3 linked regions of the Arabidopsis thaliana genome follow. The protein of the gene in region 1 interacts with the protein of each later gene in a pairwise test. Each region holds a gene or a part of one and is shown in the gene's direction. Other genes may lie near its edges.

The links.
Region 2: the proteins of AT3G15800 (region 1) and CESA1 interact in a protein complementation assay, tested with the Arabidopsis thaliana proteins (one large-scale study listed by BioGRID).
Region 3: the proteins of AT3G15800 (region 1) and PRA1.C interact in a protein complementation assay, tested with the Arabidopsis thaliana proteins (one large-scale study listed by BioGRID).

The regions. Positions count from the first base shown.
Region 1 is NC_003074.8:5,340,831-5,351,062, forward strand, and holds AT3G15800 (Glycosyl hydrolase superfamily protein), read left to right. Parts: upstream 1-4,158; 5' UTR 4,159-4,220; coding exon 4,221-4,733; intron 4,734-5,157; coding exon 5,158-5,475; intron 5,476-5,789; coding exon 5,790-6,158; 3' UTR 6,159-6,317; downstream 6,318-10,232. Other genes in the region: AT3G15770 (uncharacterized protein), read left to right, coding at 13-103, 182-248, 333-386; AT3G15780 (uncharacterized protein), read left to right, coding at 604-814, 1,379-1,521; MBD11 (methyl-CPG-binding domain 11), read left to right, coding at 2,379-2,441, 2,855-3,556; AT3G15810 (LURP-one-like protein (DUF567)), read right to left, coding at 7,224-7,619, 8,082-8,348.
Region 2 is NC_003075.7:15,638,415-15,652,014, reverse strand, and holds CESA1 (cellulose synthase 1), read left to right. Parts: upstream 1-5,170; 5' UTR 5,171-5,626; coding exon 5,627-5,707; intron 5,708-6,234; coding exon 6,235-6,430; intron 6,431-6,528; coding exon 6,529-6,701; intron 6,702-6,924; coding exon 6,925-7,039; intron 7,040-7,154; coding exon 7,155-7,344; intron 7,345-7,511; coding exon 7,512-7,778; intron 7,779-8,113; coding exon 8,114-8,459; intron 8,460-8,537; coding exon 8,538-8,675; intron 8,676-8,756; coding exon 8,757-8,882; intron 8,883-9,033; coding exon 9,034-9,246; intron 9,247-9,352; coding exon 9,353-9,617; intron 9,618-9,704; coding exon 9,705-9,901; intron 9,902-9,985; coding exon 9,986-10,336; intron 10,337-10,418; coding exon 10,419-11,006; 3' UTR 11,007-11,525; downstream 11,526-13,600. Other genes in the region: AT4G32420 (Cyclophilin-like peptidyl-prolyl cis-trans isomerase family protein), read left to right, coding at 81-135, 242-330, 640-664, 991-1,029, 1,293-1,410, 1,501-1,628, 1,698-2,013, 2,216-2,325 and 4 more; SHS1 (Mitochondrial substrate carrier family protein), read right to left, coding at 11,777-12,250, 12,436-12,597, 12,787-13,329. UniProt on the Arabidopsis thaliana protein: Catalytic subunit of cellulose synthase terminal complexes ('rosettes'), required for beta-1,4-glucan microfibril crystallization, a major mechanism of the cell wall formation. Involved in the primary cell wall formation.
Region 3 is NC_003075.7:14,530,513-14,539,543, reverse strand, and holds PRA1.C (prenylated RAB acceptor 1.C), read left to right. Parts: upstream 1-5,470; 5' UTR 5,471-5,524; coding exon 5,525-6,097; 3' UTR 6,098-6,607; downstream 6,608-9,031. Other genes in the region: AT4G29680 (Alkaline-phosphatase-like family protein), read left to right, coding at 1-1,477; ACHT2 (atypical CYS HIS rich thioredoxin 2), read left to right, coding at 2,436-2,687, 2,989-3,168, 3,283-3,561; EMB2752 (embryo defective 2752), read left to right, coding at 4,373-4,564, 4,930-5,049; AT4G29654 (Protein kinase superfamily protein), read left to right, coding at 7,090-7,118, 7,330-7,401, 7,493-7,632, 7,708-7,943.

The DNA.
Region 1 (10,232 bases):
GGGGTGTTACAGGTCTTGTGCTATGGAATCAAACTCGGCAGCAATGGGTGGGAGATAAAAGATCCGAGAGCCGTAAAAGCGTTGGTCGAGAACCGATTCTAAAGTGAGGATTATATAAGACCTAATGGTTCGAAGAGTCCAACTGTTGTGTGGAATATAAACAGTTTGATTGTTTTTGCAGTGAGAATGTGACTTATGAGAGTCTACTTGGGAGCAACAAGCGATTTCCGAGGCCTATACCTCTTGATGTAAGTTCAACTCCATGAACTGGAGGAAGTAACTATCCATTCTCATCCAAATTTTGTTTGTTATTGAAAGTTTTATCATTGCAGGAAATGGTGCAGTTTCTTGTTGAAGTTTGGGAAGAAGAAGGTCTATACGGCTAAAAGATTCTTTTTTACACATTTACAATTGTAAAGAGAGCTGAGAAAAATATATACACCCAACAAAAAATATTTGTTGATGGATCAAATTTTATAAAATTCTCTTGATTTGGAGTAATTTCCACAAAAATGTTTTTTTTTTAAATTGTCGTACACGTGTATGTCTGAATCAGAAACCCCTTAAATAAAAATGAGTTCTTAATTTTATCGTCGAGGAAAAATGGCGATGGCTTTGTCCAACCCGACCACAAGCACTAACCTCTACCACTACTCAATTCTCTCGCCGTTCTCACCGCCGTATCACCTTCACCGTCGAAACACCGTCCTACTAGCGAGTCCCCGCCGTTTACGCCGCCTCGCCGTCGCTGGTGGTCCTCCTTCTCCTCCAGGCCCTGATCCGCCTCCGCCTGAGGACACCACTCAGCTAGAAGGTTCGATTCTTCTTGCCCAGATTGATATTTTGGTCCTTTGAATCCTACTTTGTTTGGTTGGTCTTTGTTGTACTTGCTTTTCAGTTTTCACTTTAACTGTTGTGTTTTGGGTCGAAAGTTTCAATTTTTATCCGATAGTTTGATATAAGTATGGAGTCTTTTAGGTTAGTACTTGGTATTGAATCGTGCTGAGATTGTTATTGTATCATGAAACTTCCAAAACATGAGGATGATTTCATCCAATTAGTTGTTGTGTCCATGGAACCAAAGTTCAAATCTTGTGACATGATTTTGGCTTAGGCAATTAGGATTGTGGAATTTACTCCTTATGATTCAAAATGGCTACCATTTTATGTGGGGATTTTCTAAATTTTCTCTTAAGATGTAAAATTGTGCAGTAGTTGTATGTTCATTGGTTCTGCAATTAGTCCATATGTTATGTTGAATAGCTTGGGTGATGATTCCTTTATAACATAGAAGGATAGGCTGGAAATAGAAAAAACTGCACTCATGACTGATACTAAGTGAAATGAATACTCTTGTTTTCTTTTTCTCTTTGTAAAGGTCTTGTGGGAGCTGTGACAAGGGTTCAAGACCGCGTAAAGATTTTCCTCGCAGTGTTCTTTTGGATGTTTCTCTTCTTCTGGGTTACAGTCACAGATGGGACGGGTAAAGGCAAAGGCAAGAAGGGTTCACGTTTCAAGTAGTTTCCATATATGAAGAGGCTTTGGTGATTATCTACTACTCTATACTGTATATATATCAAGACTTCAAAGAGATCAAATTACCTGTATAAACTTCACCAAGTAAGCATCTTCCTTGTACATCACTTATTCAGATGATAATAGGAAACAATAAGATCGTGTTATCTTCTTGGTTAATGCTAGTGATATATAGTACTCAATTCCTGATTCTTTCCCAGTCTCCATCTGATCATGCTTAAAAAACGGCGTCGTTGAGCAATAGGACTCAAGACATGAATGGGCCTAATTTATGGGCTTTAAAGAGTTTAAACCACAGTAACGTTCTGTTTTACCGGACTCCAAAGCAATACTCCATTAGAGTTTTTTTCCCCCAAAATGGAGAAAAGTCGTTAACTATTTGGCACGTGTATTGCATGAGCACCAAGTAAGTCTAAATCTGCATTAAATGCGAACATCCGAGTCGACTTAACACCTTTTGATCAAGGCTTTAACGTGTCGTTGTTACCATAGAATATAGATGATAGAGCGCATTTTATATCACTGGATATAGACACGTGGTTAAACTTAATTGGGTTGTTAGTTAAGTTGTTGTGCTACCTCCAAGTGACTTTATCATATACTCTGTGTGTTTCTGGTAGTAAAAAAAGGTCTAAAACCATAGTGTTAAGCAAAAGAGAAAAAGAAGAGCAGAGCAAAATCCCTAAAATTTTAAACTCTGTTTTGCTTTCCGACAATCAAACCCTAGGTTGTCTGTTGCTTCATTCGTGTAAATTGTTAAATTTTTTGTTTTTGTTTTCTTGGCATTTTGTGGTTGATCTTTCTAATTTGTTTTCAGGGGTTGCTAAAGGGAAAGGAGAGAGATGGGTGGTGAAGAGGAAGTTGTTTCTGTTGAGCTACCAGCACCTTCTTCATGGAAGAAATTGGTTTGTTTTCTTTGTTTCATACAAAGACTTAGAATTTGTTGTATATGTGTAGTGCTGCAATTACCAAATCTTTTTCTTTGAAGACTCTGAATATGGTAGCTTTTGGTGGCGAAATGTTAGTATAAGTGTAAATAACTTTATGTTGATTAGGTGATTCAAAGGTTATAGACTTAGAAAAAGCCACATTTGATTGTGTTTGATCTACTATTTCTACTTCTTTGTTCTTGACTTAATGCCTCATTTTGACTATGTTTGATTTACTTCTTACTTTTCCCGATTCTTATGGATTTTAAGCCACTTGTAAACATTGTTTAAGCTACATTAAGGTCTTCTTTAGAATTTAATCTTTCAGCGTTTTGAACCTCAAATTTTCATATTTTCAGAGGTTTACATTAACTGACTTGTTTTTGCAGTTTTACCCCAACAAAGTGGGTTCAGTGAAGAAAACAGAGGTTGTGTTTGTGGCTCCAACGGGTGAGGAGATTAGTAACAGAAAGCAGCTGGAGCAGTATCTCAAATCGCACCCTGGAAACCCCGCGATCGCAGAGTTTGATTGGACGACTAGTGGGACACCTAGGAGATCTGCAAGAATCAGTGAGAAGACTAAGGCTACGCCGTCACCAGATAAAGAGCCACCCAAGAAGCGAGGTAGAACCAAATCTCCAGTGTCAAAGAAAGATGCAGAAGGTGAGAAATCAGAGGGAGGAGGAGAGGAAAACTCTCATGTGAAAGATACTGAAATGAATCCTCCAGAGGGAATCGCCGAGAATGAAAATGTGACCGATAAGAATGGCTCCGGTGAAACTGAGAGGGTGAATGATGCAAAAGAAAACATTGTTGCTGAGGAAACTCCAAATGCGGCTCCAGTTCAAGAAGAGGGTGAGTCGATGAAGGAGAAAGCTCTGGATTCTGTTGATGATAAGAGTAAGGAGACTGACAAAGAAAAAGATACTGGCTCAATCGAAAAGAACTCGGTAGATGTAGAGAAGAAGACCGTTGAAGCTAGTGATGAGAAGAAGAATTCTGAAGCTGAGACCAGAAACCATGAAGAAAATGGTCTGACCACAGAAGCTGAGGGGAAAGAGAAAACAGCAGAAGGAGAAGCTACCGGATAGCCCTGTTCTGCTCTGCTTCTGTTAGCTCATGAAACTGTAAGTCAGTTGTTTCTATCAATCTATTGAAGTATATGGTTTCCTTTTTGCTTCCTACTCGGAGCATTATCGCGGTGAAAGGTGTTGTTAGGCTGAGATATGTATTATGAGATATGTGCAAGTTCTGTTTGGTTGTAAGGTTATGTAGAGGATATATTATTGACTCTTCTCTAAAACCATTGCAATCACTAGGTTTGATGTTTTATCTTTCTGCTACAATCTTTAGTCATTTTCGTATGGATGGACAATCAAGTTATGAACAAGTCAGATTAAAGATCCACACATAGATTAATCTTCTAGATTTCTTTTTATCATTGGTTCAATCTTCATTTGAACGCCATAAAATGGGAAACCCAAATAAAAAAATGGAAGAAAGCAGAAGAAGACAAGAGGAAAAAGGTAAAAGTTTTGCTTTGAGAGTAAAGTAAGAATCTAATGCAAAGAAAGACTTACAATGTTAGTTTTCTTATTTCCTTGATTCCATCCTTTTGCATGGTCCCAGGGACGAGGGTTTAGAATCTTTCTATTAAGGAACAACTTCATAGTATAAACTCTTATTGTTCCCATTTTAGGATTAAAAAAAAAACTTGCTCTGTTTTCAAAAACATCATTCGAGACAGTATCTCAAATGGGTTATTGTGTTCCTCTTCGAAAGTCTCCAACTTCACATATGGTTTTCTCTTCTTTCTTCCTTTCGTTTCTCTTAGTCTTCTCTATACTCTCTTCACAAACGGCCGTAGCATTCATCGGAACATATGGTGTAAACTACGGTCGCATAGCGGATAATCTTCCGTCTCCTGACGCGGTAGCAACTCTCCTTAAATCAGCAAAGATTAGAAACACCCGTATCTACGATGCTGACCACTCTGTACTCACGGCGTTCCGCGGGACCGGGATTGAAATCATCGTTGGCTTAGGCAACGAGTTTCTCAAAGACATTAGTGTAGGAGAAGACCGAGCCATGAACTGGATTAAAGAAAACGTCGAGCCTTTCATACGAGGCGGTACTAAAATTAGCGGTATCGCGGTGGGTAACGAGATTTTAGGTGGCACCGATATCGGGCTTTGGGAAGCTCTCTTACCCGCAGCCAAGAACGTTTACTCCGCTCTTCGCCGTCTCGGTCTTCACAATGTCGTCGAGGTACATTACCTTAATCTTGCATACCAAACATGTCGCTAAAACCATGACATCTCGAATTTGCTTATTTTGTTTGGAAAAAGTTTTTTTAAAAGATTGCACGTTTAACCAACGTTAAATCTCATAAATACATTATTTTTTTCCGAGTAAAGTTGAGAATTTTCTTACAGACAAAATGATCAATCATTTTTTTGTAACCCAAAATGATTCAGTTTAAATATATAAATCTATTAACCTAGTAACAGAAGTTTGTATTAATGATATGACCATGTCGATCATAATCCAGCTAAGATACGTTAGTAGGCATGCATCAATTTGGATTTCTCTTTGAATTTTTTTCTTTTTAAATCATCTCTAATATTTTTAGGACATCAAACTTAGAACTTAAATGATGATTTAGCCTAAAACATTCAATATTTGTTTATAGGTGTCGAGTCCACATTCAGAGGCAGTGTTTGCGAACTCGTATCCACCGTCTTCGTGTACGTTCAGGGACGATGTGGCGCCGTTTATGAAGCCGTTGTTAGCGTTTTTTTGGCAAATTCAGTCGCCGTTCTACATTAACGCCTACCCTTTTCTTGCATATAAATCCGACCCGATTACAATTGACATCAATTACGCCCTTTTCGAGCACAACAAAGGCATCTTGGACCCTAAAACCAAGCTTCATTACGATAACATGTTCGACGCCATGGTCGATGCTTCTTATGCTGCTCTCGAAAAAGCTGGCTACACAAAAGTCCCGGTACGTCCGATCCTTATTACTATCAACCCTTTTTTTGTTTGGTTTCCATTAACATTTTCCCTTTGTTACAAGCTTTGCAAAGTACAAACGTAAATGTCAAACTAGACTAAAGACATTTTTTTGGGGTCAAAAACATGCATTATATGAGTTTCAACTGAATAATTTGACTCGTTATATGCATTTTTATTTTTCTATCAGTAACATGCATTTTTTATCTTTTGCTATCAGTACTACATGCACTAAGCTACATGTCTTGTCGTACGCGGATTTAAAAGCGTCATGCGAACCTGATTTAATCATTTAATTGTACCTAGGTGATTGTTTCGGAGACGGGATGGGCATCAAAAGGCGATGCAGACGAGCCTGGAGCGTCGGTAAAGAACGCGAGAACATATAATCGGAATCTTAGGAAGCGGCTGCAGAAGAGGAAAGGAACACCGTACAGACCAGACATGGTGGTGAGAGCTTACGTGTTTGCTCTTTTCAACGAGAACTCGAAACCAGGTCCCACTTCCGAGAGAAACTTTGGCCTTTTTAAACCCGATGGTACTATTGCCTACGATATTGGCTTAACCGGACTCAAGTCCTCTTCTGCCACACGGTATCGTTTTAAGTCGTCTCTTGTTTCCGCTTCTGCTTTCACGTGTCTTCTTCTTCTTTTTCACCGGTTGTTCCACTTGTGAGATTTGTGATTTTTTTAATTGGTCCTTTGATTATCAAGTTAACCCGTAATTCTTGATTTGCTTGTGATTAGTCACTTTTAACTTTAAAATGTTAATATACGAGCTCCTAATTACTTTGTGTAATGTCTTCTTGAAATGATATTGTTTAGTGAGGGTAAATGTTGGATTTTTCTACATTATTCTCTAAATATTTCATCCCAAGTCAAAAACAGTTAAAGAAAAAGTTTATTACATAAGCTGCATATGTGAGTTTTTGATGGGACTCAATCACATGAAAACATCACTAGCTACATAACTATTTAAATGTTGTGTACTCACATAAATTTTGATCAAGTATTTGTTCTAACTATAAAATTATTTTATTTGTTTTGTCCATTGTCTACTTGGTATATATAGCTATCAACCATGTATTTACGTGAGCATGAAAATTTTGATTACGTTAACGAATCAAATCTAGAGAGTGCATTAGTCAAGATATATCTTCTCTCTTTATTAGATGCCTATATAGTTTTCTTATAAATCTTATTCGACCACCTTCTATTTATGTATTAATATTCCTACGCACTCTCTGATCTTGTGTCAACTAACACTAATAAAATTATTCATGAGATTCAATTTCCACTTGGCAGTAAACATGTGTACGATACACGTTACATCTCTCCTATATATTAAAAAAGTTAGTACTTCGATAGAAACATTTTGCAACTAACACAATAAATAAAAATTTATCAATCGAACTTATAATTAATTAAATCTTTAACACATCTAATCTGGTCAACTGATAGATTTTGGATCGTCATAATTTTAAAAAATTTCTAACATGTATCGATAAATTTAGAACGCACAAATAATTTTGTAACATCAAACGTATAGTCAACGAATTTCCCGAGACAGACTATAGTCTATAAATATTATGTAACGTAGCAACTTAAATGACTTAACACAGAATGATACAAACAGATCTCCATAATCCCATATGGTCCAAATCCAAAGATTGAAAAACTAAAGATTAGATTCGATATGTTAACGTGAAGACCGCTGAGAGAGGTGAGAGAGAGACCGACACTAATCCTCTACAAAAGGGTGTACCTGTTCATCACCAATCTCAACTGGATCATCACCGTTGATCTGGTCAAGCACAACGACCAAACCCATCGCGAAAGCGCCATCAAAACCCGGTTTAATCTCTAGAGTGAACACATCTCGACCAAGCATCACGTTCGTTGACGCGTCTACTTTGCGTTTGATCTCAGCCACAGTACATTTCTTCGTGTCGTATATGAGACAGCTTCGTTGCGAGAAGTCTCCATCGATAATGTACTCTTCTCCTGTTCCGTCGTAAACTTCTACTTCCATCGTACACCGTCCGATTATCGACGATCTACGGACGCTGAATATCGGTTTCTGACCTTCCGATCTCTCGCCGAGAAAACCTTCCCATCTTTGGTGTAGAGTTGGTCTCTGTTCATCAGAAAAATAAACAACGAGTTGACTCAGTATCATCTTTAGAACTACTATATAACAAATAAAGGACACTATAAATTGTGTTAGCAACTGAGTCGATGACTCGGAATTAGGCTTATACAAAAAGTTGATTAAAATTTTCAGCTCAAAACAATTTCTTCAGATCTCGTTTCTAACAATGATTTTTATCGATTCTAGCCAAGTCATTATTTGTTTACCAATACAAAAAACTTATCAAGATTTTCTTGACAAAAAAAAGAGGTTAGCAAAAGATTCTTGAATTCTGATGGATGCTCACCAATGAAATTCATTTTTTAAACCAAACCCATCTAATCAAATTCAGCACAAGAAGTTGAGCATCAAAATTTATTATAATCACCTAGCTAGTCACCCTCACGACTAGACTCTTACTCATCCCAACATAATTTTAAGAAGAAAAAAAGGATGAATTAAGTTTACCTTTCGTTTAACGGTAAGGAGACACTTCCCGGTCGCGTCCATGAGGACAATCTCATCGTTATCTCTTGTGTCAGGTCCATAAGAATCAACCCTGAAGATGATATCACCACGGCAGTCATAGGCGGCGAAGCCATCGCCGGTGTAGAAGAGAGAAGTCTTGCAGACGGTGAGTGGTTTGTCTTCTTGGTAAAGATAAGCTTTGTCGACCACAATTCTTTCTCCCATCTTTTTCCCTTCTTTTGGAATGGTCTCTTCAACTAATTCCATTTTTATTTTTATTTTCTTGTGTATGTGTGTTTTGTGTGTGGAAGTTAGATTTTGTGGTTTGATTAACGAATGATTTTTAATCTATGATATGGACACTCTTCTCTTCCTTCCTTTGTCTCTCTATTTATATGTGGTTGATATATACGTACACACGCTTGACGCGTATGTAATGAATTAATATCTTTAAGTCTGCTTCAAAAAAGTCGTAACATATATTATTGTTATTTCCTATTGGCTAATAATACCAAAGTCACATGCATAAATAATTAAATAACATGCTATAACTTAAAAATGTTAGTTTAATCTGTTTTATTAGGCTTTATTCTAAACTATTTTTAGACTGTTTACACGCCGCTTTTATATCCAAGTTGCAAAAGAAGAAACAGGTAGGAAGATTGTTTGAAGTTTTTATGGTATTTTAACATTTTAGGTGGTATTATTAGTTTGGGATTTAAATAAAGTTTTAATGACTTAAAATATTATTGAGAATATATTGTTATTTAATCAAATTTTTTAAAAAGTTTGGTATTATTAATTTAAATTTTTTATAAATTTAGAATTATTGAATTCATACTTTTATAAAGTCATTCAAAGTTTTGTGTTATTCAACTAAAACAAAAAAATCTTTGAATATTTATGAATTAAATTTTTGTGTTATTGGTTTATAACTTTCTACACGTTTTTTACAAAATAAAATTATAAAAGTCTCATTAAAATAGAGAGATTGTTTGAGAAATTTTACAAAATTGCTAAAAACTAATTAATAAAATTATAGAAAACACTTTAGTTATAATTTAGAATCTTTTATTTTTTTACCACCTATAATTTTATCAAAATCTTCAAATTTATTGATAAATTAGAAACCAATATATATCACTTCTTTAATGTATTTTTATGTCGACAAATGTTTTATGTTTTATTTATCCACACGGCCACTTTATACTTATTGTAAATTTATAACTTTGTAAAAGATGTCTAACTACTACCCTATACGTGATTACGTGTTACAAGTTTTTTTTTTTTTTTTTAAATTATAATAATAAGTATGAAGAAAAGAGGAAATAGGAAATTTTGTACGTCGATTTTTTTTTTTGTAAAAGTTGAGTAAAAGTGAACTAAACATCAACGATGTCCCAAATCATAGCCTTGACTAGTAGACAAACACGTCTAATTGGGTGACGATTAGACAGACCAGTCCAATTATGTGAAAACTAACAAAATCACTACCTCTTGATTTACATTTACATTTAAATGATTACATTCATACCACCTTTTGAGTGTGATTGTATGAAATTTACATTCTTTGGTACAACTAAATTCAGATTTCTTTCTATAATCTCTTAAATGTCTACTATAAATTTACAAATAAAAAATAAAATGGTTCTAAATATATTTAAAATCTCAAAATATATGTTGGCATGCAAGGAAATTCAAACCAAGATAATCAAGAAAACAGGTATAGCGTTTCTTCTACGTCAGATATCAAATCCGTGATCGAGTGAACAATGTCAATATGACAATATTCTACAAAGAAGAAATTTTGTTTCATTCATATTTCTTGGTAATGTATCGATTGATCATTTTGTTTCTTCCTGTTTTTGTTTCTATATTGTTTAACACTACACCAATGCTTCTGCTGCTTTGGATGACGAGATAGTTTTTTTTTTACTCGACACATCATACAAGACCTTCGTAAGTATCTGTAATACACGAATCATTAATACATAACACGAATAATGCATTACTATAGTTTTGAGAATCTCATTCTCATACTTCTGTCTCTCTTGTTGTCGAAGAATATCACACTTAACATATAAAAAGAACAACATGTCAGTACACAAAGGTAAAGCCCACCAAAGAGAGAAAAGAAAACAAGACTTAACT
Region 2 (13,600 bases), on another chromosome or scaffold:
TTTGGCTATGTTAATGTTCACTTTCTTGTATTTTTCCTGATCTAGCGAAAGTGTTAAAAATCTTAACATTGTTTCTTTAGCTTTTCCCTGAAGTCGCTCCCAAAACATCAGAGAATTTCCGTGCACTATGCACAGGTTTGTTTTCTGTCCGGCTAAGCTTGTTGCTTTCTTGCTGTTTATTAATTTGACTGTTGGTTTTCCTTGTCTTTAACACTTATTTCCCCTTATAAAATCTATATAGGGGAGAAAGGCATCGGACCCAGAAGCGGAAAACCTTTGCATTATAAAGGATCCTTTTTCCATAGAATAATGAAAGGTTCCTCAGCACAGGTTTCTATCTGCATCTTTCATTTATTGATATGACGTTTCATTCTTATACTTTTGTTTTTTTTTTTCTTTTTTTTTTTTTTTAATTATCGACATTGGTTGGATTTTGGTCTTTTTAGTCGTTGCTGTTCTCTATGCTGTAGGATACAGGTCTGATCGCAACACCTGCTTTTCATGTGATATAGTTTTAAGGTTGTACTACTAGTTGTTTATGCTCAAACGTTAGGCCTTCTCATGCAAAGAGTACAGTTTATGTACCAACCTATTCAATGTTGCTACTAGTCTAACAATCTTTTTTTGACCTTTTTTCAGGCCGGTGACTTTGTGAATCGAAATGGTATGTACACTTATTCTTCAGCTCCTGAAATACATCAAATACAGCCATCAGTTAAATTTATTGATTCCCGCCTTTTCTGATCTTCTATCTATGGCGCACAGTTTGTAGCTTATTAACTGTGCTTGAGAAACTATATATCATTCATGTAATCATAGTCGTCTGAAAATACCATTAAACTGAGATTAGCTATTTGGTGCATGGGACTGCATTCATTAGATTCCTGTGGAGGTTATTGGATCATTAGATAGTGCTCAATAGGTTATGCAGTGAACATTAGCAAATTCATTATCATCTGACAAACTTTGTATATTTCTTCCACTTTCCAGGTACTGCTGGGGAAAGCATATATGCCGGAAAATTTCCAGGTTGGTTTACCACTGCGATTTTTAATAGCAATCTCTTTACAATTACCCTAGCAAGATATGAGAGTCTTGATAGTCTATTGTGGGTGTGATCTCTCATTTCTGCATTGTTCATTGCTTAAATAAAGATTGTATTAACAAATAATCTTTCATTTTGGACGCATTGCTTTATTGTAAAGTACTGGTCTTCTTGTGAATATCACATCTTTTGCTTGTTCCCTTTAAATATGTTACTAAGTAGCAAAATCAATTTCTGATGTTACCAGATGAGTCACCGAAACTAAGACATGAGGAGACTGGTCTTTTATCTATGTCGATTGCAGACCGTGACAAGTTCGGATCACACTTTCATATTACCTTCAGGCCAAATCAGCAGCTTGATAGGTTTCCTCTCAATATTACTTTGTTTATTTCAGGAATGTGGATTTTCCTTTGGGCATTGTGTTATTTCTGACTGGTTTATATTTTCATCAGAAATAATGTTGTTTTCGGAAAGCTAATTCAAGGGAAAGAGATATTGAAAAAAATTGAACGTGTGGGTGATGAGGAAGGTAAACCTACTGTCAGCGTGAAGATAATCCGTTGTGGAGAATATTCTGGAGGTACGAATCTGCTCCTATTGGTTTCTACTACATAAGTCATGATTTCACAATTATAACCAATCCATGCAGATAAGAAGAAAAGTGACGGTAAAAAAAATGGAAAGCACAAGAAGTCTTTAAGAGTGAGAAGAAAAAAGAGGCGAAGACACTCTTCATCTGAGTCTGAGAGCTCTTCAGATTCTGAGACAGATTCCTCAGAATCTGATAGTGAGTCAGATTCAGACTTGTCTTCACCTTCCTTCCTTAGTTCCTCGAGCCATGAAAGGCAGAAGAAGAGAAAAAGAAGTTCAAAGAAAGACAAGCACAGGCGGTCTAAACAGAGAGATAAGCGCCATGAGAAAAAGCGGAGTATGCGTGATAAGAGACCGAAACGCAAATCAAGAAGGTTGCAAGTCTTGTACACTTCACTTGTTATAGCCATAGTTTCCGTGTCAATGCTGGTTACTTTCTGAAATTTATTATTTTCTATGGATCTAAGCTAGATTAATTTTGTTCCTCTAGGATGTAATAATTTGATAGATATCCTAACAATTTTACTTACCTGTATCTGCTCCAGAGTTATTCACTTGTGTTCTGCAACTTTTCAGGTCCCCTGACAGTCTTGAAGACAGTAATAGTGGAAGTGAAGCAAGTCTTAGTGATGTCAATGTTGAAATTGGAGCAAAAAAGAGGAAACACAGAGTCTCTCGTAGAACAGGTAGTCTCTAAAACTCAAGACTTTTGGCTTCTGTTTCAGCTATTTTTTTTTGTTCTTTTTCTATTGGTCTGTCCGAAATTAAGGATGTTGGGATGGGACAAAATACTTTGCGTGCTATTTGATCATAACATATTTTAGTGTCAATTTGCCTTTTGTTGAAGCATTGTGTTGATCATGCGTCTTCATATTGCCGACATGTTTTTTTTTTTTGCTAATTTCTGTAGGCAGTTTAATAATGAGACTGTACACTCTTAACATTCTGTTTTTGACAATATTCAATCAGGTAATTCTGCACCAGCGGTGGAAAAAGAAGCTGAATCACTTCACCAGGGCAAAAGGAAAGGACCAGATTTGCTTGAAAACAGAGGGCTGAGAAGTAATGGAATTTCAGATGCTGCATCAGAACAGATTTCTGATAGGCAACCTGATATTGTCGATGATCATCCTAGTAAATCTAGGTCTAGTTTCTTTTCTCTCTACGCCTCATTTATTGGTTATTTCTCTCTTATTCAATATGAAGTCAGTCTTATTTTAAAGTTAATGTGCAGGAGCCGGAGCTTGAGTCCTAAGAGGACAGTGAGTAAGAGCACGAGTGTTAGTCCTCGGAGGAGTCAGAGTAAGAGCCCGAGTTCAAGTCCTAGATGGAATGGGGGCAGAAGTCCTGCTAAAGGTAGCCGCCAAGTGAAGAACTTGACAAACAGTAGAAGAGAAAGCCCAGGGAGTGAGGAAAAGGGCAGGCATGTCAGAAGGAGCCCTACCAAAAGTGTTAGTAGAAGTCCGGTGCGGGTGAAAAAGGAAAGAGATATTAGTAGAAGTCCTTCAAAGAGTTTAAGCAGAAGTCCACTGAGGAGCCCCAAAAGGGTCATCAGCAGAAGTCCAGTGAGAGGTAGGATTGCCAGAAGCCCTAGCCGGAGTCCTGTAAGATCTGCATCTCGTGGAAGCCTTGGGAGGGGCCCACTAAGAAGATCGTCAAGAAGATCACCTAGCAGAAGTCCAGTTCGATCTTCTAGAAGAAGCCTGAGCCGGAGTCCTATTCAATTATCTAGAAGAAGTCTGAGCCGGAGTCCCACTCGATTGTCTAGGAGAAGCCTAAGCCGGAGTCCCATTCGATCACCTAGGAAGAGTGTGAGCAGGAGTCCAGTCCGATCATCTAGGAAGAGTGTGAGCAGAAGTCCGGTTCGTTCATCCAGGAGACGTATCAGCAGGAGTCCAGTCCGATCATCTAGGAAGAGTGTGAGCAGGAGTCCTATTCGATTGTCCAGAAGAAGTATCAGCAGGAGTCCTATTCGATTGTCCAGGAGAAGTATCAGCAGGAGTCCTGTTAGAGGAAGAAGAAGAATTAGCAGAAGTCCAGTTCCGGCAAGGAGAAGGAGTGTGCGGCCTAGATCTCCTCCTCCTGACCGCAGAAGAAGTTTGTCAAGAAGTGCTTCTCCTAATGGGCGCATAAGGAGAGGGAGAGGATTTAGCCAAAGATTCTCATACGCCCGTCGATACAGAACTAGTCCATCTCCTGATCGATCTCCTTATCGCTTTAGTGATAGGAGTGACCGTGACAGGTGAATAGCCCACACATAATATAACTCCCCCTTTCTGTTACACACTCTCGTACTGAACCGTCTTTTTTATAACGTCTTCTCTGTAGATTTAGAAGTCGCAGAAGGTTCTCGCCAAGTCGGTTCAGAAGCCCACTAAGAGGAAGAACACCTCCAAGGTACTTATCCTCTTTAGTACATTGTTTCAGCTGATTCTTTACATCTAAAAGTTTCATGAATATGGAACTAAAATTGGTGATCCAAAAGAATTATTCTTGATTTCACAACTCGAAAGTATGCTCAGGTATAGAAGAAGAAGCCGCTCAGTATCGCCTGGTCTCTGTTATCGCAACCGGCGGTACAGCCGCAGCCCTATCCGTAGCCGATCTCCACCTTACAGAAAGAGAAGGTCACCATCCGCTAGCCACAGCCTGAGTCCATCGAGGTCAAGATCAAGATCAAAGTCATATTCAAAATCTCCCATTGGGACGGGGAAAGCAAGATCAGTGTCAAGATCACCATCCAAGGCAAGGTCTCCATCGAAGTCGGATTCGACATCCTCGGATAATAGCCCAGGTGGGAAAAAGGGATTAGTAGCCTATGATTAATGAATAATGATTACCCTTAAGTTAAGTGTTTGTTCTTTTTACTGAGAAGAGATGGTAAAGAGAGTAAGTAGTTTACTTCTGTAAAACATAAGCATTGTCTTTTGCGTATGTTTGTTTGATTATGCTCCAAGATTGTTAAAAATTTCTGTTGATGTTTGCCGACATTTTTTCTTTGTTGCCATTTGCCGACAAATGTTAACTTCCATTATTCGTTGCGGAGTTGGTTTTGGTCCAATAATTAAACTTTCATAAAATTAAGCATAACTAAATGTGACGTTTGTCACCAAACTTTAGAACAACGACATCGTAATTTATTTATTTGGATAATCAATATAATTTACGATTTCTTCCTACATATATATCATATCACTATACCACCGTCATTATCACTATCACTAAATATAAAAATGTTAAAATGATTTCTTAATGGAATTTTTTTTGTTAAAAGTTTATTGACACAAAAAATGAATTAAAACTCAGAAATCTGTATACTGAATTAAAACTTGTAAATATAACAACAAAATGGGATTAAAAAAAGAAGTGGCATCCATTTAAAAATTATTTGCGAATTCGCCCGTAACTTCTTAAGCTAACAATTAGAACCTAATCAACACTAGTTATTTTGAGTCCACCGACAGGTGATAGCAAATAAAAAAGAACAGGCTGGTACCAGAGCCAACAACAACGTGGCTTCTTCTTTTTTTTTTTTAATATAATCAAACAATCATACTTTGTCCTATCTCTTTCTTGCAATAAGATTTTGCCACGTCACATACTAAGAAGCTGGCGCGTCTAGTGGGGAAGCCAGAACGGCTCACTTTAAAAAGTAGAGAGATGATAACTTGAGCCGAATAGAGCCGAGCTGAGCTAAAACGGTGGGAGAGGAAGAGGCTACTACTACCGTCACCATCTCCGGTAAAATAATGTACTTGTCATTTAAAAATTAAGAAAAAACACATCACTCTGCGATAAAATAGGCAAAAGCAGATTTGAAGAAGAAGCAGCTTGAGATATCAAATAGAGAGAGAGAGTGACAGAGGAGTGTGTGAACATCCTTTTTTAGTAGATTTGGGTTTTCGAGATGCCGTATTGAATCGGCTACGAATTTCCCAATTTTGAATTTTGTGAATCTCTCTCTTTCTCTGTGTGTCGGTGGCTGCGATGGAGGCCAGTGCCGGCTTGGTTGCTGGATCCTACCGGAGAAACGAGCTCGTTCGGATCCGACATGAATCTGATGGCGGGGTCTGTTCATCTTCCCTTTTTCCCATTTTTTTGTTATTGTTTTTCGTTCTTACAATTTTTGATGTGTAGATCTCATCTAGATTTCTCTGTTTCTAAATCTCGTCTCTTTTGGATCCATAATTGGATCATTGAAACTCAGATTTCGCTTCCTTTGACTGTGTAGTTAGTTAGTGTCAGTTGATCAAGTAAGTGTCTGAAAATGGAAACTTTTCTGCTCCAATTCTTCAAATTGTTGTGATCTATATCAATTAATGCCGCATCTGTTTTCTTAAAATCTCTTATGGAAAGTGTCGGTGGATTTCAGTTCGTTAACTTTTTTAAGCTAAAATCTTTGACTCTTAAAGTTTAGCTTTACTTATTGAGATTTAGCTCAACTAGATCTCGTTAGTTCCCGCCATGGGATACAGACTGTGACTCGCCTTAATTCAGATCTGCATTGATTGTTTTGATTTAGATCCTTGCTCATCTCTTTCTGTAGTTTCTAATACTCAATGACTAACAATGATGCAATGTTGGTCAAAGTGCAGACCAAACCTTTGAAGAATATGAATGGCCAGATATGTCAGATCTGTGGTGATGATGTTGGACTCGCTGAAACTGGAGATGTCTTTGTCGCGTGTAATGAATGTGCCTTCCCTGTGTGTCGGCCTTGCTATGAGTACGAGAGGAAAGATGGAACTCAGTGTTGCCCTCAATGCAAGACTAGATTCAGACGACACAGGGGTCAGTTGTCTTTTTCTTTTTGTTGGCAATTGCTATATATGGATTTTCTCTTTTTGTTTCTTTGCTGTTGTGTTGAACAATTTTTTGGAATTTTCCAGGGAGTCCTCGTGTTGAAGGAGATGAAGATGAGGATGATGTTGATGATATCGAGAATGAGTTCAATTACGCCCAGGGAGCTAACAAGGCGAGACACCAACGCCATGGCGAAGAGTTTTCTTCTTCCTCTAGACATGAATCTCAACCAATTCCTCTTCTCACCCATGGCCATACGGTAGGGACCTACATTTTCCCTTTAGACTCTAGAGTGATTTGTATTACTCAATAAATCCCTAGAGTGGTCATTTATTACTTACTATTCACGTTAATGTTATATGTGAACAAATCTTAACAGAATTTTTTTCTGATAGTACATGGTCATCCAAATTAAGAAATAATAATAGATGTTGTTAGTTGTGTCTGTTTTCAATAGATTCATGACCTTTTTCTATACACAGGTTTCTGGAGAGATTCGCACGCCTGATACACAATCTGTGCGAACTACATCAGGTCCTTTGGGTCCTTCTGACAGGAATGCTATTTCATCTCCATATATTGATCCACGGCAACCTGGTATTCATATGTTTTTCCCTTGTGCACGTGGTCTTTGTTAAATGTGATTCCTATTCATTTTTACAACATATATATTTTGTGTACCGTAACTGATAGCTCCCGCTAAAAATTGCAGTCCCTGTAAGAATCGTGGACCCGTCAAAAGACTTGAACTCTTATGGGCTTGGTAATGTTGACTGGAAAGAAAGAGTTGAAGGCTGGAAGCTGAAGCAGGAGAAAAATATGTTACAGATGACTGGTAAATACCATGAAGGGAAAGGAGGAGAAATTGAAGGGACTGGTTCCAATGGCGAAGAACTCCAAATGTAAGTGGAAATACTAGACCAATATCTTTATTGTCCAACTCAAACAGCTCTTGGCCGTGATGCTAATAACCACTCTTGGTTTCTTATTATGTATTGATAGACATAATTAAGTATCTGCTTTGTTACATTTGTTTCCTTCCACTCAATTATGGTTCTCGTACTTACAGGGCTGATGATACACGTCTTCCTATGAGTCGTGTGGTGCCTATCCCATCTTCTCGCCTAACCCCTTATCGGGTTGTGATTATTCTCCGGCTTATCATCTTGTGTTTCTTCTTGCAATATCGTACAACTCACCCTGTGAAAAATGCATATCCTTTGTGGTTGACCTCGGTTATCTGTGAGATCTGGTTTGCATTTTCTTGGCTTCTTGATCAGTTTCCCAAATGGTACCCCATTAACAGGGAGACTTATCTTGACCGTCTCGCTATAAGGTTGGTCTTTAAGTTTATACATCCCCTACTCTCATCTCTCTTTTATGTATTAACTTGATATCTTCTATCACAGTTTTCGATAGTTGACTTTTTCCCCCTGTAAATTTAATTTAAATTTAGACAATGGTGCATCTGAATTTTGATTATGATATATCTTAAGAAGATTATGATTGTAAATCTTGAAATTTAGTAGAAAACCATCTGCAATCTACTGACCATGTGAAGTTTCCGACTAGACTATGATAGAAGCATGCCAAGTGGAGTGTTTATTAAGATAGAGCTTAGCTATTATACTGATTTTATATGTGTTTTGATTTTTTGGTTTCTTATTGTAGATATGATCGAGACGGTGAACCATCACAGCTCGTTCCTGTTGATGTGTTTGTTAGTACAGTGGACCCATTGAAAGAGCCTCCCCTTGTTACAGCAAACACAGTTCTCTCGATTCTTTCTGTGGACTACCCGGTAGATAAAGTAGCCTGTTATGTTTCAGATGATGGTTCAGCTATGCTTACCTTTGAATCCCTTTCTGAAACCGCTGAGTTTGCAAAGAAATGGGTACCATTTTGCAAGAAATTCAACATTGAACCTAGGGCCCCTGAATTCTATTTTGCCCAGAAGATAGATTACTTGAAGGACAAGATCCAACCGTCTTTTGTTAAAGAGCGACGAGCTATGAAGGTCATTTGAAAAGTCCACCTGCTTCTCATCCATACGGCAAAGAGATTGACTGACTTTTTCTTTGGTTTGTATTGACAGAGAGAGTATGAAGAGTTTAAAGTGAGGATAAATGCTCTTGTTGCCAAAGCACAGAAAATCCCTGAAGAAGGCTGGACAATGCAGGATGGTACTCCCTGGCCTGGTAACAACACTAGAGATCATCCTGGAATGATACAGGTACAGTGTGGCAATCCCTTGATTGTGACAGAGAGGATAACGTAAAGGAAACATGTTTACATCGTTTTGTTTCAATTTCAGGTGTTCTTAGGCCATAGTGGGGGTCTGGATACCGATGGAAATGAGCTGCCTAGACTCATCTATGTTTCTCGTGAAAAGCGGCCTGGATTTCAACACCACAAAAAGGCTGGAGCTATGAATGCATTGGTTTGTTAACTTTCAGAATCCTATTGTGTCCTCTATTTTATTCTCTTGTTCACTGCCTAAGAAACGTTCTTCTTGTGTAGCCGTTGCTTCACATTCTTTTTTTTCTAGGCTATGTGTTCTCTCCTAATTTAGTATCTCTTTACTTTGACAGATCCGTGTATCTGCTGTTCTTACCAATGGAGCATATCTTTTGAACGTGGATTGTGATCATTACTTTAATAACAGTAAGGCTATTAAAGAAGCTATGTGTTTCATGATGGACCCGGCTATTGGAAAGAAGTGCTGCTATGTCCAGTTCCCTCAACGTTTTGACGGTATTGATTTGCACGATCGATATGCCAACAGGAATATAGTCTTTTTCGATGTGAGTATCACTTCCCCATTGTCTTTTGTTTCTCTTTTGTTCATATTTTGGTTGGATTTACTCGTTTCTGCTATGGCCTGACTTGGATATTTGTTCTCTTGGGCAGATTAACATGAAGGGGTTGGATGGTATCCAGGGTCCAGTATATGTGGGTACTGGTTGTTGTTTTAATAGGCAGGCTCTATATGGGTATGATCCTGTTTTGACGGAAGAAGATTTAGAACCAAATATTATTGTCAAGAGCTGTTGCGGGTCAAGGAAGAAAGGTAAAAGTAGCAAGAAGTATAACTACGAAAAGAGGAGAGGCATCAACAGAAGTGACTCCAATGCTCCACTTTTCAATATGGAGGACATCGATGAGGGTTTTGAAGGTTTGATTGAGCTGATTGTGTAATAACATCACTTCTTTATGTAATGATTTATGTGATGGTGAAATCTTACAATCCTTGTTTATGCAGGTTATGATGATGAGAGGTCTATTCTAATGTCCCAGAGGAGTGTAGAGAAGCGTTTTGGTCAGTCGCCGGTATTTATTGCGGCAACCTTCATGGAACAAGGCGGCATTCCACCAACAACCAATCCCGCTACTCTTCTGAAGGAGGCTATTCATGTTATAAGCTGTGGTTACGAAGACAAGACTGAATGGGGCAAAGAGGTCAGTTTTCAAATGCAGCTACAGAATCTTCTTATGTTCTCTTTCTTACCTGTTTGATGACATCTTATTTGGCACTTTTGTTAGATTGGTTGGATCTATGGTTCCGTGACGGAAGATATTCTTACTGGGTTCAAGATGCATGCCCGGGGTTGGATATCGATCTACTGCAATCCTCCACGCCCTGCGTTCAAGGGATCTGCACCAATCAATCTTTCTGATCGTTTGAACCAAGTTCTTCGATGGGCTTTGGGATCTATCGAGATTCTTCTTAGCAGACATTGTCCTATCTGGTATGGTTACCATGGAAGGTTGAGACTTTTGGAGAGGATCGCTTATATCAACACCATCGTCTATCCTATTACATCCATCCCTCTTATTGCGTATTGTATTCTTCCCGCTTTTTGTCTCATCACCGACAGATTCATCATACCCGAGGTTTGTAAAACTGACCACACTGCTATTTACTATTTGAATCCCATTTTGTGAATGCATTTTTTTGTCATCATCATTGTTGCAGATAAGCAACTACGCGAGTATTTGGTTCATTCTACTCTTCATCTCAATTGCTGTGACTGGAATCCTGGAGCTGAGATGGAGCGGTGTGAGCATTGAGGATTGGTGGAGGAACGAGCAGTTCTGGGTCATTGGTGGCACATCCGCCCATCTTTTTGCTGTCTTCCAAGGTCTACTTAAGGTTCTTGCTGGTATCGACACCAACTTCACCGTTACATCTAAAGCCACAGACGAAGATGGGGATTTTGCAGAACTCTACATCTTCAAATGGACAGCTCTTCTCATTCCACCAACCACCGTCCTACTTGTGAACCTCATAGGCATTGTGGCTGGTGTCTCTTATGCTGTAAACAGTGGCTACCAGTCGTGGGGTCCGCTTTTCGGGAAGCTCTTCTTCGCCTTATGGGTTATTGCCCATCTCTACCCTTTCTTGAAAGGTCTGTTGGGAAGACAAAACCGAACACCAACCATCGTCATTGTCTGGTCTGTTCTTCTCGCCTCCATCTTCTCGTTGCTTTGGGTCAGGATCAATCCCTTTGTGGACGCCAATCCCAATGCCAACAACTTCAATGGCAAAGGAGGTGTCTTTTAGACCCTATTTATATACTTGTGTGTGCATATATCAAAAACGCGCAATGGGAATTCCAAATCATCTAAACCCATCAAACCCCAGTGAACCGGGCAGTTAAGGTGATTCCATGTCCAAGATTAGCTTTCTCCGAGTAGCCAGAGAAGGTGAAATTGTTCGTAACACTATTGTAATGATTTTCCAGTGGGGAAGAAGATGTGGACCCAAATGATACATAGTCTACAAAAAGAATTTGTTATTCTTTCTTATATTTATTTTATTTAAAGCTTGTTAGACTCACACTTATGTAATGTTGGAACTTGTTGTCCTAAAAAGGGATTGGAGTTTTCTTTTTATCTAAGAATCTGAAGTTTATATGCTAAGCTTTTCACTTTACTACAAAAAGTTTATGGATATGATGGTGTACGTCAATTGTTGGTGCAAGTGTTGATGTCTTCGGGTGAACTCGCCCTCTTGTTTTGTCTCACCCATCAGTACAAATAGAATGACATTTATTTTTTTGAACTTTTAACGAAATCTTTGTCATTATGGGACTTGATCAGTAAAGTTACATATTTGAAGAGATATTGTGTAAACTCTTATTTGAATCAGAATCAGATCAATCAAAAATTGAAAACGTAAAGTTCAAACAAAAAGGTAGAGTGAATCTTTTAATCCCCCCTCAATACTAATTTGTGAAATCTCAAGTGGTGTAAAATGAACCCAATTAGTATCCACAATGTGTTTCTCTGATCAATCCTTAAAATTTGCCACGAATCCATACAATTCCAAAATCAAGCTTCTTGGTTGTTCTCGATGAGTATCTTCTTGCAAGCTTCATAACACATGAAGGAGATTCCAGCAGCAGGAACCAACTTCAAGCAACTCGGTCCAAGCCCTTTGTACCAACCGAGAATACCTTCATGCTCAAGTATGGTCACCAGAGCGTGCAACATGTTCTTGTACACAACCCTCCCGCTAACAGCTCCCACCTGCATATGCTTCCGGGCCACTTCAAGAGGGAAAGTTGCAGTGCTCGATAGTGCACCTGCTAAAGAACCTATCAAAAGAGTCTCAATGTTTCCAATCTTCTCCTGCTTTGAAAAACTCCGGTATGCTTTTCTCAAAGAATCATATGCAAAGTAATTTGTAGCTGCGTATGGAACAACTCCAATAAGGCTAGGAGCAAGACCCCTGTAGAGTTCTGTGGGTCCTTCCTCGCGTATGATTTTGAGAAACGCATCAAAAATCCCTTTGTAAACACCTCTCTGCAATAAGTTTGGAAGACCCATTACTGAGCAAAGAACTATATAGATCCGATATTACAATGAACTATCTAACTGAATTCTTGTCAAAAACAACGTGACATGTACTAAGGCCACAAATCCTTCAGCTACAAGGGAGTGAGATCACCTAATTATTTCTAACAAAATACAATCTAAATGGATCAAACCTGAATTGTAAGGCGAGTCTTGACTAGTTCAAGAGGGTATGTCAAGAGTGTCTGGCTAACTCCAGCACAGGCACCAGCCAGTAAAGAAGCTGGAATTGGGATTTTCGATTCTTGTCCATGTGGCGGCGACAATTTCTTGTTTACGGTCTCGAATACAAAAAGCTACACATACAAGAATTGGAAAACAAAGAAAGTTGAGTACCAAAGTCTCATCAATTCAGCATAAGACACAAGACTTTTCACAGGTAAAGAGTCAACGAGATATATTAGTATAAAAGTCAGAAACTTGCTCAATCTGCATTTCAATTATAAACAATGATACATGTTTGGTTAGGATTATCATAGTGGTACCTCGACGGCTCGAGCAGGTGCAACACGAATGACATTGACCAAATTGCCCCTGAAGAGACCAGTCCAACCTTCATGCTTCATGATATCACTGAACACTTCAGTGCTGGAGTTTCCTCCACTTCCCACCATTAGATGCGTCCTGATTGTCTCCAACGGCGCAACCACCGTTCTCGACACCGCTCCAGCTACTGCTCCGCTTAATAGCCGCCGCAACGAAGGATTAGCGATCTTAATCTTCAGTGTGAGCCCACCTTTCTTCTTCCTCTTCCTCTTCTCGCCATTAACTACTTCTTCCTCCTCCTCTTTTCCCGGCATATACTTGGTGTAGAGATCATTGAGCTGGGTAGAGAAGCTGTTGTTGCCTCTGTTGGAAAGATCCGAGGACGAGAGGGATGCGAATGGATTAGTCTGATTAACGCTGGCGAATAACCCACCAATTGGGTGGTAATTAGAGCTGTTTAGGCTCGAATCGAATCCTAAATCGGAAACGGAGAAAAACCCATTCCTCGAATCGTCGAACAATTGGATTCCGGTTTTCCCCATGACCAATCGTCGAACAATTGGTCGTCCCTTTCGTTGAGATTTTAGGGTTTTACTTTTAACCAGTCTGCTAGTTTTCTTGCCCTTTTTGGGTGGGTTGGTAGGTAGGTCAGTGGGACGTCGACTGCGGCGCTTTGATTTTTTTTTATTTTCTTTGAAACTAAAATTAAAAAGAGTTTTATATTTTATTGTTAAGATATTCAATTATTTTCTAGAATTGGGAAATGCAAATCCACGAAATAATTGCCGACAAGCAAATGTAGTAGAGCCGTAT
Region 3 (9,031 bases), on another chromosome or scaffold:
CACATTATCAGCTAAAAAACCTAAATCAGTTCCACAAGAAGAAGACCAAGACCCACCAAGCCAATCAATCGCACTTCTCGACAATCACACAGATTCCTCCGGTTCTGATTCTTCCACTAGAAGCATCTCAAGCTGCTTCATCTTCACATCTCTACTTCTCGTCACCTGCATCGCTCTATCCGCCGCTTCAGCTTTCGCCTTCCTCTTCTTCTCTTCTCAAAAACCTGTCCTTTCCTTAAACCAAATCTCAAAGTCACCAGCTTTCGACAGATCCGTAGCTCGTCCGCTCAAGAAACTCGACAAGCCTGTTGTTCTTTTGATTTCATCAGATGGGTTTCGTTTCGGGTACCAGTTCAAGACCAAACTACCGAGCATCCACAGATTAATAGCCAACGGAACCGAAGCTGAGACTGGTCTAATCCCTGTTTTTCCGACACTAACTTTCCCTAACCATTACTCTATCGTCACAGGTCTATACCCAGCTTATCATGGAATCATCAATAACCACTTTGTTGATCCAGAAACAGGGAACGTTTTCACAATGGCTAGTCATGAACCAGAGTGGTGGTTAGGTGAGCCTTTGTGGGAGACAGTTGTGAACCAAGGACTTAAGGCTGCTACTTACTTCTGGCCTGGCTCTGAGGTACACAAAGGCTCTTGGAATTGTCCTCAAGGTTTATGTCAAAACTACAATGGCTCTGTTCCTTTTGATGATAGGGTTGATACTATTTTGAGCTATTTCGATTTGCCTAGTAACGAAATCCCGAGTTTTATGACGCTTTACTTTGAAGATCCTGATCATCAAGGTCACCAAGTTGGCCCTGATGATCCTCAGATCACAGAAGCTGTAGTTAACATTGATCGGTTAATAGGAAGATTAATTGATGGGTTAGAAAAACGAGGGATTTTTGAGGATGTGACTATGATTATGGTTGGTGATCATGGAATGGTTGGAACTTGCGATAAAAAATTGGTGGTTTTAGATGATTTAGCTCCTTGGATCAAAATCCCTAGCAGTTGGGTACAGTACTACACTCCGTTGCTAGCGATTCAACCCCCTTCAGGGCACGATGCAGCGGATATAGTGGCTAAGATAAACGAAGGTTTGAGCTCGGGTAAAGTAGAGAATGGGAAGTACTTGAAGGTTTATCTCAAAGAGGATTTACCTAGCAGGCTGCATTATGTAGACAGTGACCGCATCCCGCCTATTATAGGACTAGTCGATGAGGGCTTCAAGGTGGAGCAGAAGAAAAGTAAAGCCAAGGAATGCGGTGGAGCTCACGGGTATGACAATGCCTTCTTTTCGATGAGAACTATATTCATCGGGCATGGTCCTATGTTCTCAAAAGGAAGGAAAGTGCCTTCTTTTGAGAATGTTCAGATATACAATGTGATCAGTTCGATTCTAGGACTTAAGGCAGCACCAAACAATGGATCTGATGAGTTTTCTTCAAGCATTCTCTTGCCACGCGTGTAGAAGAGTAGGGTAAGTTTATTCTTCTGTCAATAAAAGGCAGTCTAGACTCTTGAGACTTTGTTGTCAAAACATAAACGCGTTTGACCTCTTAGACGTTTTATGCGTTTTGATCTGATTGCTGTTTTTGTATGATTTCATCACGAAGTTGCACTAAAACGTATTGTAGTATTTCGGAGTATGAAACTTGTCTTGACATTTGATGCCAAGATTGGAAGCTTTGTACTTTCCTTCAAAGAAACAATGCTTTGAATTGGATACTCGATTCTTTGCCAATAATTGGAAACAATTTAGTGTATGTTGGAATTATCAACACTTATCACCGATGTGTCCTATTTTCTTGCAATGATTTTGTTGCATCACATGTTATGTTTTTTCTTTCATTACTTGCTTAGTTTATTGGAACAGAACAGATTCACTTAAATCCTTATAACAAGAACCTTCCTCTTTTAAAATCGTGATCGAAAGTAGAAAACTTATCAAACCTAAGTATATGCTAGACTTGATTGATCAAAAATACGAATCTAATTAAACCCAAATCGCCTTCAAATTTGATATTTTTCTTTAGATTTTTCTGTGTTTGTACATCAATTAAAGTTGGGATCCAAATAACAAATAAACATAGATGGCATTTAAGTAAATAAGTTTGTTATGTGTGTAAAGAAAAAAGCATTACTTATCTGCGTTCCGTGTTAAAACACGATTCTAACGGAGAAACAAAAACGCGTTTACGCTTTTTCAACTATCATATCGACAAAACGCCAAGTGGATGATGGCGGTTTAAACGCTATTTAATGTTGAAAAATCGCGTCTATGTATAATTGGAGAGACATGATGAGAGAAATATCACTGGAATCTGAACCAGACAGTTTCTGATCTTCTTCTCCTTAGAGGATCTCTCGGAGAAGATTCAAAACCAAGAACAATCTCAGTCTCTATCTCTCTCTCTGGGTGCATTTAGATGGCTGGAGTTGTGCGATTAACGACGACGTCGGTTCAAGCCATTCGTGTCTCCTCGTCCTTCAGCTCCTTTGCCACCGCTCTTAATCCTCTGCAACCTTGCTTACCTCCAAACTCGAATCTGAATTCCGACAAGAGATTGCGTCTTCTCTCATCTTCTCCTTCCTGCTCGTCTTCTCATTACCACCCATCTTCTGGTCTCGGAAGCCATCTCCCCCTTAGACGACCCAAGAGCCAAGTGGTTCGTGTCAAGGTACAAATGTCTTGCCTTTTAGCTGATTCTGTCCGTAAATCGTATACCCTTTTGGAAATTGAGACTCTTGAGCCCATTTCTGATCTCTTGTTATTCGATTTGGTCTTTCGCCTCTAGCTAGAGCCTAAACGTGAATTGTGACCTTAGCTCACTGTTATGTTCTCATTCCACTTCAGATGTTTAGAATTTAGTCTAAAGTTTCAGTTTTTTTGTTAGAGACGGTGATGCTATTGATTGCTTTGATTAGATGGTGATGCTTTCGGCCATAGTTTTATGTTTCTGATGTGGGTTTGTGGTGTAGGTAGATGAAAATGTAGCCGAGACAGAGCCACCGAAATGGTGGGAGAGGAATGCTCCAAACATGGTCGATATTCATTCTACTGAAGAGTTCTTGAGCGCTTTAAGCGGTGCGGGTGAAAGATTAGTTATTGTAGAGTTTTATGGAACTTGGTGTGCTTCTTGCAGAGCATTGTTCCCAAAGGTTAGTGTCATGTGACGTATCTATTCCATGAAACTATAAGAGTTTCATTTCTCTTTCGTGATTCTGTGAGAAATTTAGATGTTTTTTTTGTGTCTGTTTTGAAAATGTTTTCAGCTTTGCAAGACAGCGGTGGAACATCCCGATATAGTGTTCCTTAAAGTAAACTTTGATGAGAATAAACCGATGTGCAAGAGTTTGAACGTGAGAGTGCTTCCTTTTTTCCACTTTTACCGTGGAGCTGATGGTCAGCTTGAGTCATTCTCATGTTCTCTTGCTAAGGTAAAGAAGGCTATTTCGGTTTCACCTTTTCCGCAACTAGAGCTTGGCATAACGCTTCAAACAAAGAGAACTACTTCGTTGTTCTTTTTCGATAGGATCTATCAAATATTATAGACCCTTTGCTGATATTGATACCAAAACCGGTTGAATGCATTTGGTCTGTCTCTGATTACTATTTGACATCCTCTTCTTTTGAATATTTGTGTGTATTCAGTTTCAGAAGATAAAAGATGCAATCCAACTGCACAATACCGATCGTTGCAGCCTCGGTCCAGCCAAGGTACCTGAAGGCTTAACATTAGCCAAACCAGCTGCATCAAGTTGAAGTGCCAGATTTTTAGATATATTACTAAGGCAACAATCTTTGGTTGCTCAAGCAAATACTCAGCTTAAAATTCTGTATATCGTCATATTTTTGGGTGTAAAAGAATACTTCCTAAAGCCAGTTACGATTCTTCTGCTAATAGTCAATTGCAAATGTATTTTCACTACTGCTGTTCTTTATTGCTTTAAAGCAAGCTTATTGATGAAGTCATGTGAGGTTGCATAAGTCTCATTTCCATAGTTTTGGGGTAAATTTATAACTTTCTCAACTTACCGAACGATAGTGAAAAACAAATACATAGCACAATGGTTACAATAATCATGTGTTGTGATTACAATTTACAAATTTACAAGAATCATATCAAATAAGATTTTTTAAAAATTTACAAATGTGAGCTCAAGACTTTTAAGTGTTAAAGATAAGTTAAGGGCTGAAAACTAAAACATGTAGGAATAAGAGGACTGTTTGGTAAACGTTTTAACGTTTAAAGTCTTGCCTTTTGATATCAGATTTTTCTCAGGTTCCCACGCGCCGCCGCGAAACAGCTAGACGGAGAAATCCAAAATTCGGCGAAGGTTTGAGAAGAGAGAAATCTGAGAGATGCAAGGAGTGTGGAGCCAACTATGGAGGAAATATGCTGATTATAAGTACAATAAGTTCGAGAGATTTGCTGTTTGGGAAATGATCGAACCTTACCGTCGACCAAAAACCTTCACAACTTTGATTACTATCTATGTCGCCGCCTTTTACACCGGCGTCATCGGCGCTGCAGTTACAGAGCAGCTCTACAAGGTCAGCTTCGTATTGTTATCGATTCAGGCCCGGAATTGCTATTAGATTTGTGGGTTCTAATTTGATTCTCGTGATTGGTAAATGTTAGGGTTCGAAATGTGATAAAATTGGAAATGATTCATTGTTGATTACTAATAAAGGATTGTGTGATCATGAAAAGAACTATACTTGAATTGCTTTTCATGGGAATGGTTCATTAGGTCTTTCAATGAAGCTTTTACGTCTTGATTAGTATCTAATCTAATTCATTGTTCTGTAGTATATTGTATTCTTTGTCAATGTGTTTCTTACACTGTTTTGTGTTAGTATCAGTTATGTTTCTTGTTTGAGTGTGAACTTTATGTTACTCCACTCTCTGTAAACAGGAGAAGTTTTGGGAAGAGCACCCAGGGAAAACAGTGCCTCTGATGAAGCCAGTATTCTATCGAGGACCATGGAGAGTTTATCGTGGTGAGGCTATTGCTTCAGATGCTAGCAGCCAGTGAAGCTAACGATTAGGCTATCAGAGACTATGGTGAAGGATGTATCTCCGACTTTGATACGCAGATATAAATGGATTTATACTGGTTCACTAGTATATGTATATCAAAAAACTTCTTTTGGTTCAGTAGAATGTTTGTGTCTGTATTTCGAGTCTAATGACTCTCTTAAGAATCTATTTTCTAGAAATTACATGTAATGACAGTCTCGTTATAGTATAAGGATTTGATTTGAGAAGTTTAAGGGTATCCATTCATTCCTTTGAATATCTCTGCTTGTATCTGCCTCTCTTCTGGTGTCCTGAAATAAAACATTCCCAAATAAGATAGATGATCTAACTACCTCAGAAACATTGAGCCAACACAGATTTTTCTCTTCAAATTAGGTTGCTTCACATTCTTTAGTCCATATAGATTCCTCTGGGGACGTACTCTGTTTCTTTCCTTCCTTTTTTTTTTTGTTTGTTGCTTGTGAAAGAATATGACAACCTATGGCACTATACCATCCCAAGAAAATGCTTCGTCGAGCCTGAGCTTATTAGGACGAGCCAAAGAATTGATCTCGTTAGGTCTTAGCTCTCAAAGGCCATGGCTTGAACTTGTCCAATGTAGTGCCTTTAGCCTTCCTATCTCCTTTAGCGTTGCCACTGAACGAATCAAATCCAACATCATGATCTTTCGAACCAACTACATTGTTATCTTCATTGTTAGTATCTTCATCAGCATGCTTTGGCAACCCGTCCACCTTTCCGTCTTTGTTATCTTGATAGTAGCATGGCTATATGTCTACTCCCGTGATAATGAACCATGGGTGATATTTGGCAGTGTGATCGATGATTCTACTTTGGTGCTGGTTTTGTTGGTCCTCACGATCGGTATATTTCTACTAACAGATGTATCCCGCGGTATTGTGATCGGGGTTTTGGCTGGTTTGCCCGTTGTTCTGGTTCATGGCATGTGTAGGAGGAATACAGAGATGTTGTTCGTCTTGGAAGATGATGAAGAGAAAGTGGCAATGAACACATCATCTTCGTCACTTTCTTCTTCCTCTTAAGTCTTCACAATTGAGCACAAGATTTTCAGTTTTTCTTTCCTGAATTTGTCTACATAGTTCAAAACAACGCATATCCAGTGAAGGAACGTTAACATGCTGCAAAAAGAACTTGAGCTCTTTTGCGATCAAAATTCAGGATGTGGATATTGATGTACTGATGCATGTCAGAGACCTTGGTGACAAATAAAAGGCAATTTTGCGTGCTGATTAAAAACATTATCCTATGATAGAATTCCTATCTAATTATCTCCAACAAGCCAATACAATAACGAAGACAAGTGTGATCCTCTTCTCAGTTATCACTTATTACAAATTATCCAATCGATTCTCTCATTTTCAACAATTACGAATTGAAAGGTTGTAACTTTATATGAACAATGATCTAGTTTTTAATTTTATCACAACAATTATCAAGTTCAAATGCAATAGGGATTTGGCTATATATACCATTTTACTTTTTAGACACGACATGAAGAAGTAGTTAGACCATCTCCAACAAAGAGAACCCCAAAAAATTCTCAAATAAAAAAAATATTAATATTTTACTATAATTTGATTATACAATTAAATTTTTATTTTAGTAAAAAAATTAGATAATTGTAAAAGAGATAAGTGTTTAAAAGGAACTCTCTAAAATATCTGAGGTGGTTTAGACGTCTCGCTAATATCAACCGGCCTAGTCCCAGAGTGAATACAATATTTTTACATTTGGTAAATGTTAAGCAAAACCAACTAAGACTTATTCCTAATAAACATATTTAATTTATTTATTTCAAAGAGATAATTACATAGGTTTATATTGTCTATGAAGAATTATTTTGTTTATAATTTTTTTAATATGTTATAGTGTTCTAGAATTACCAAAATATAAAGTTTGTTAATCATGTTTAATTTAAAGCAAAAAAAGAAGATAAAACATAAGAAAAACAAAAGCAAACTACAAGCAAAATATATATAAATTTTCAAGATTTCTCCTTATTCCTCCAAACTCTATGCATTTTAAAATAGTTGGTTTGAGGATGTATTGTTTATTATTTCGTTATTATCATGCTTTATATATATTTTTGAACTTTTTGGATCAAAAATAACAAATCTAAGTATTTTGACAATAATTTTAAATACGATCATTTAATATCCTCAAATTTTACAAAAAAGCTGATCGAAAAAAGTAGTCCAATCGATATTACCGTTATTTTTCTCTTAAAAGTTTTTGTTTTTTTGTAGGGTTTCAGATTTTGGTTTGACCCGATCTACAGCAGAGGGCAACGAATCAATCATGACAAAGTCTATCCTCGGCACATATGGTTACATGGCACCTGAATACGCATGTATGCTTCTTCTCTAATCTGTTAATGTTTATTACATCGGATCACCAATGTTATTGTTATCTAACAGCTTAAACTTTGTAAGTGCATTGATTGGAAGGGTAACTACAAAAGCTGATGTCTACAGTTTTGGAGTTATTCTCATGGAGTTAGTCACAAGCAAGGAAGCTTTAGACAAGAAGCGATCAGATGCTGAACATCACATTCTCAGTTGGTTCAGGAGAGTCTGCATCGACAAAAACTCTTTTAGAGAAGCCATTGACGAAACAATTTAAGTGAATGAAGAGAACCGCAACATCATTGACGACGTAGCGAGACTAGCAATTCACTGCTGCGCCAAGGAGCTCACTCAGAGACCAGAGATGAAGTATGTTGTCTCTACACTTACCTCACTCTGTGACACTTGGAAGCCTAGTGAAATCGTAGACAACGACAGGGAGGACACAAGTGTATTAGAACTTGTAAAGAGATGGAAGGAGCAAGAGATGGAGGGAAGCAGCAGCGGTATCATTGTGGTTTGATGGAACTTCTATAGATATGTAGTGTGATGTAGAGTTTATGGTTCATTTGTATAGTAGAAGTGTAAGTTTTGAATATGATTAAGTTCAAAGTCTAACCTCTTCGTCATGATTTTTGTTTCAAATTTGTGGTTTCTTGGTCAATGTGAAGCAGGGATTCTTTATTCACTAGTATATATAGCTTTGTTATGCCTCAATTTTTATTTTGATTTCGCTTTATTCAAGGTTTTCGTGTCTCAATTTAGGGTATCGTTATTGAATTTCTTGGGCTTCAATTTAGGGTTTCTTTATTGAATCTTTGGGGTTTTACCCTCTCGCAAGTTAAGCTAATATATACATTATTCGAAAGATATCTTGAATGTAGAGCTTGATGTACCAATATGTAAAAAATCTTCTCTGTTTCATGTAACATTGGAAATTCCTAGATTTATATTGTTCTGACATTACATTTAGATTTGCTTTTAAGAAGTTATTGTATTGTGATTATTGGCATATGATTATAAACAACTAGTTATATAAATTTTGCAGAAGTGTTTTACTTTAGGATTAATTTGATTGTATACCTTATATTTTAGTATTAATTTGAAATCTACACTATAATATTACACTATTTGAAATATATTTTATATTGGTTTTAAAATGACATGTTTGTCCTTAATAAATAGAAACCATTAGAAATAAGACACTAAATAAATTGATTAATTAGTTATAACAAATTTTATTTTTAAACTAAACTGTTTATATTTAAGAAATTAGATATTCAAACTATTTTAGAAAATGTCAATTAATTTTATCCATTATATTTAATTATGGTAAAACTTCAATAAAAAATCTGTAGTTTTCAAATATCCATATATTGGGTATATTGTTCAAGATTTTAATAAAATTTGGTACATTTATAAAAATCTCCCCTTTTTTTTTATATACTAAAAGACCCAAAAAAGGTTTTATGGGCCCAAAATGTTATTTTGCCCTAGGGCCTTTGATAGTGTTGAGCCGGCCCTAACACTTAGCAGGAGTTTGCTCAATGGACCACGTTATTCTCTACTTCGATGTCTTTACCTCGTATGTAAGATTACAACATACAAACT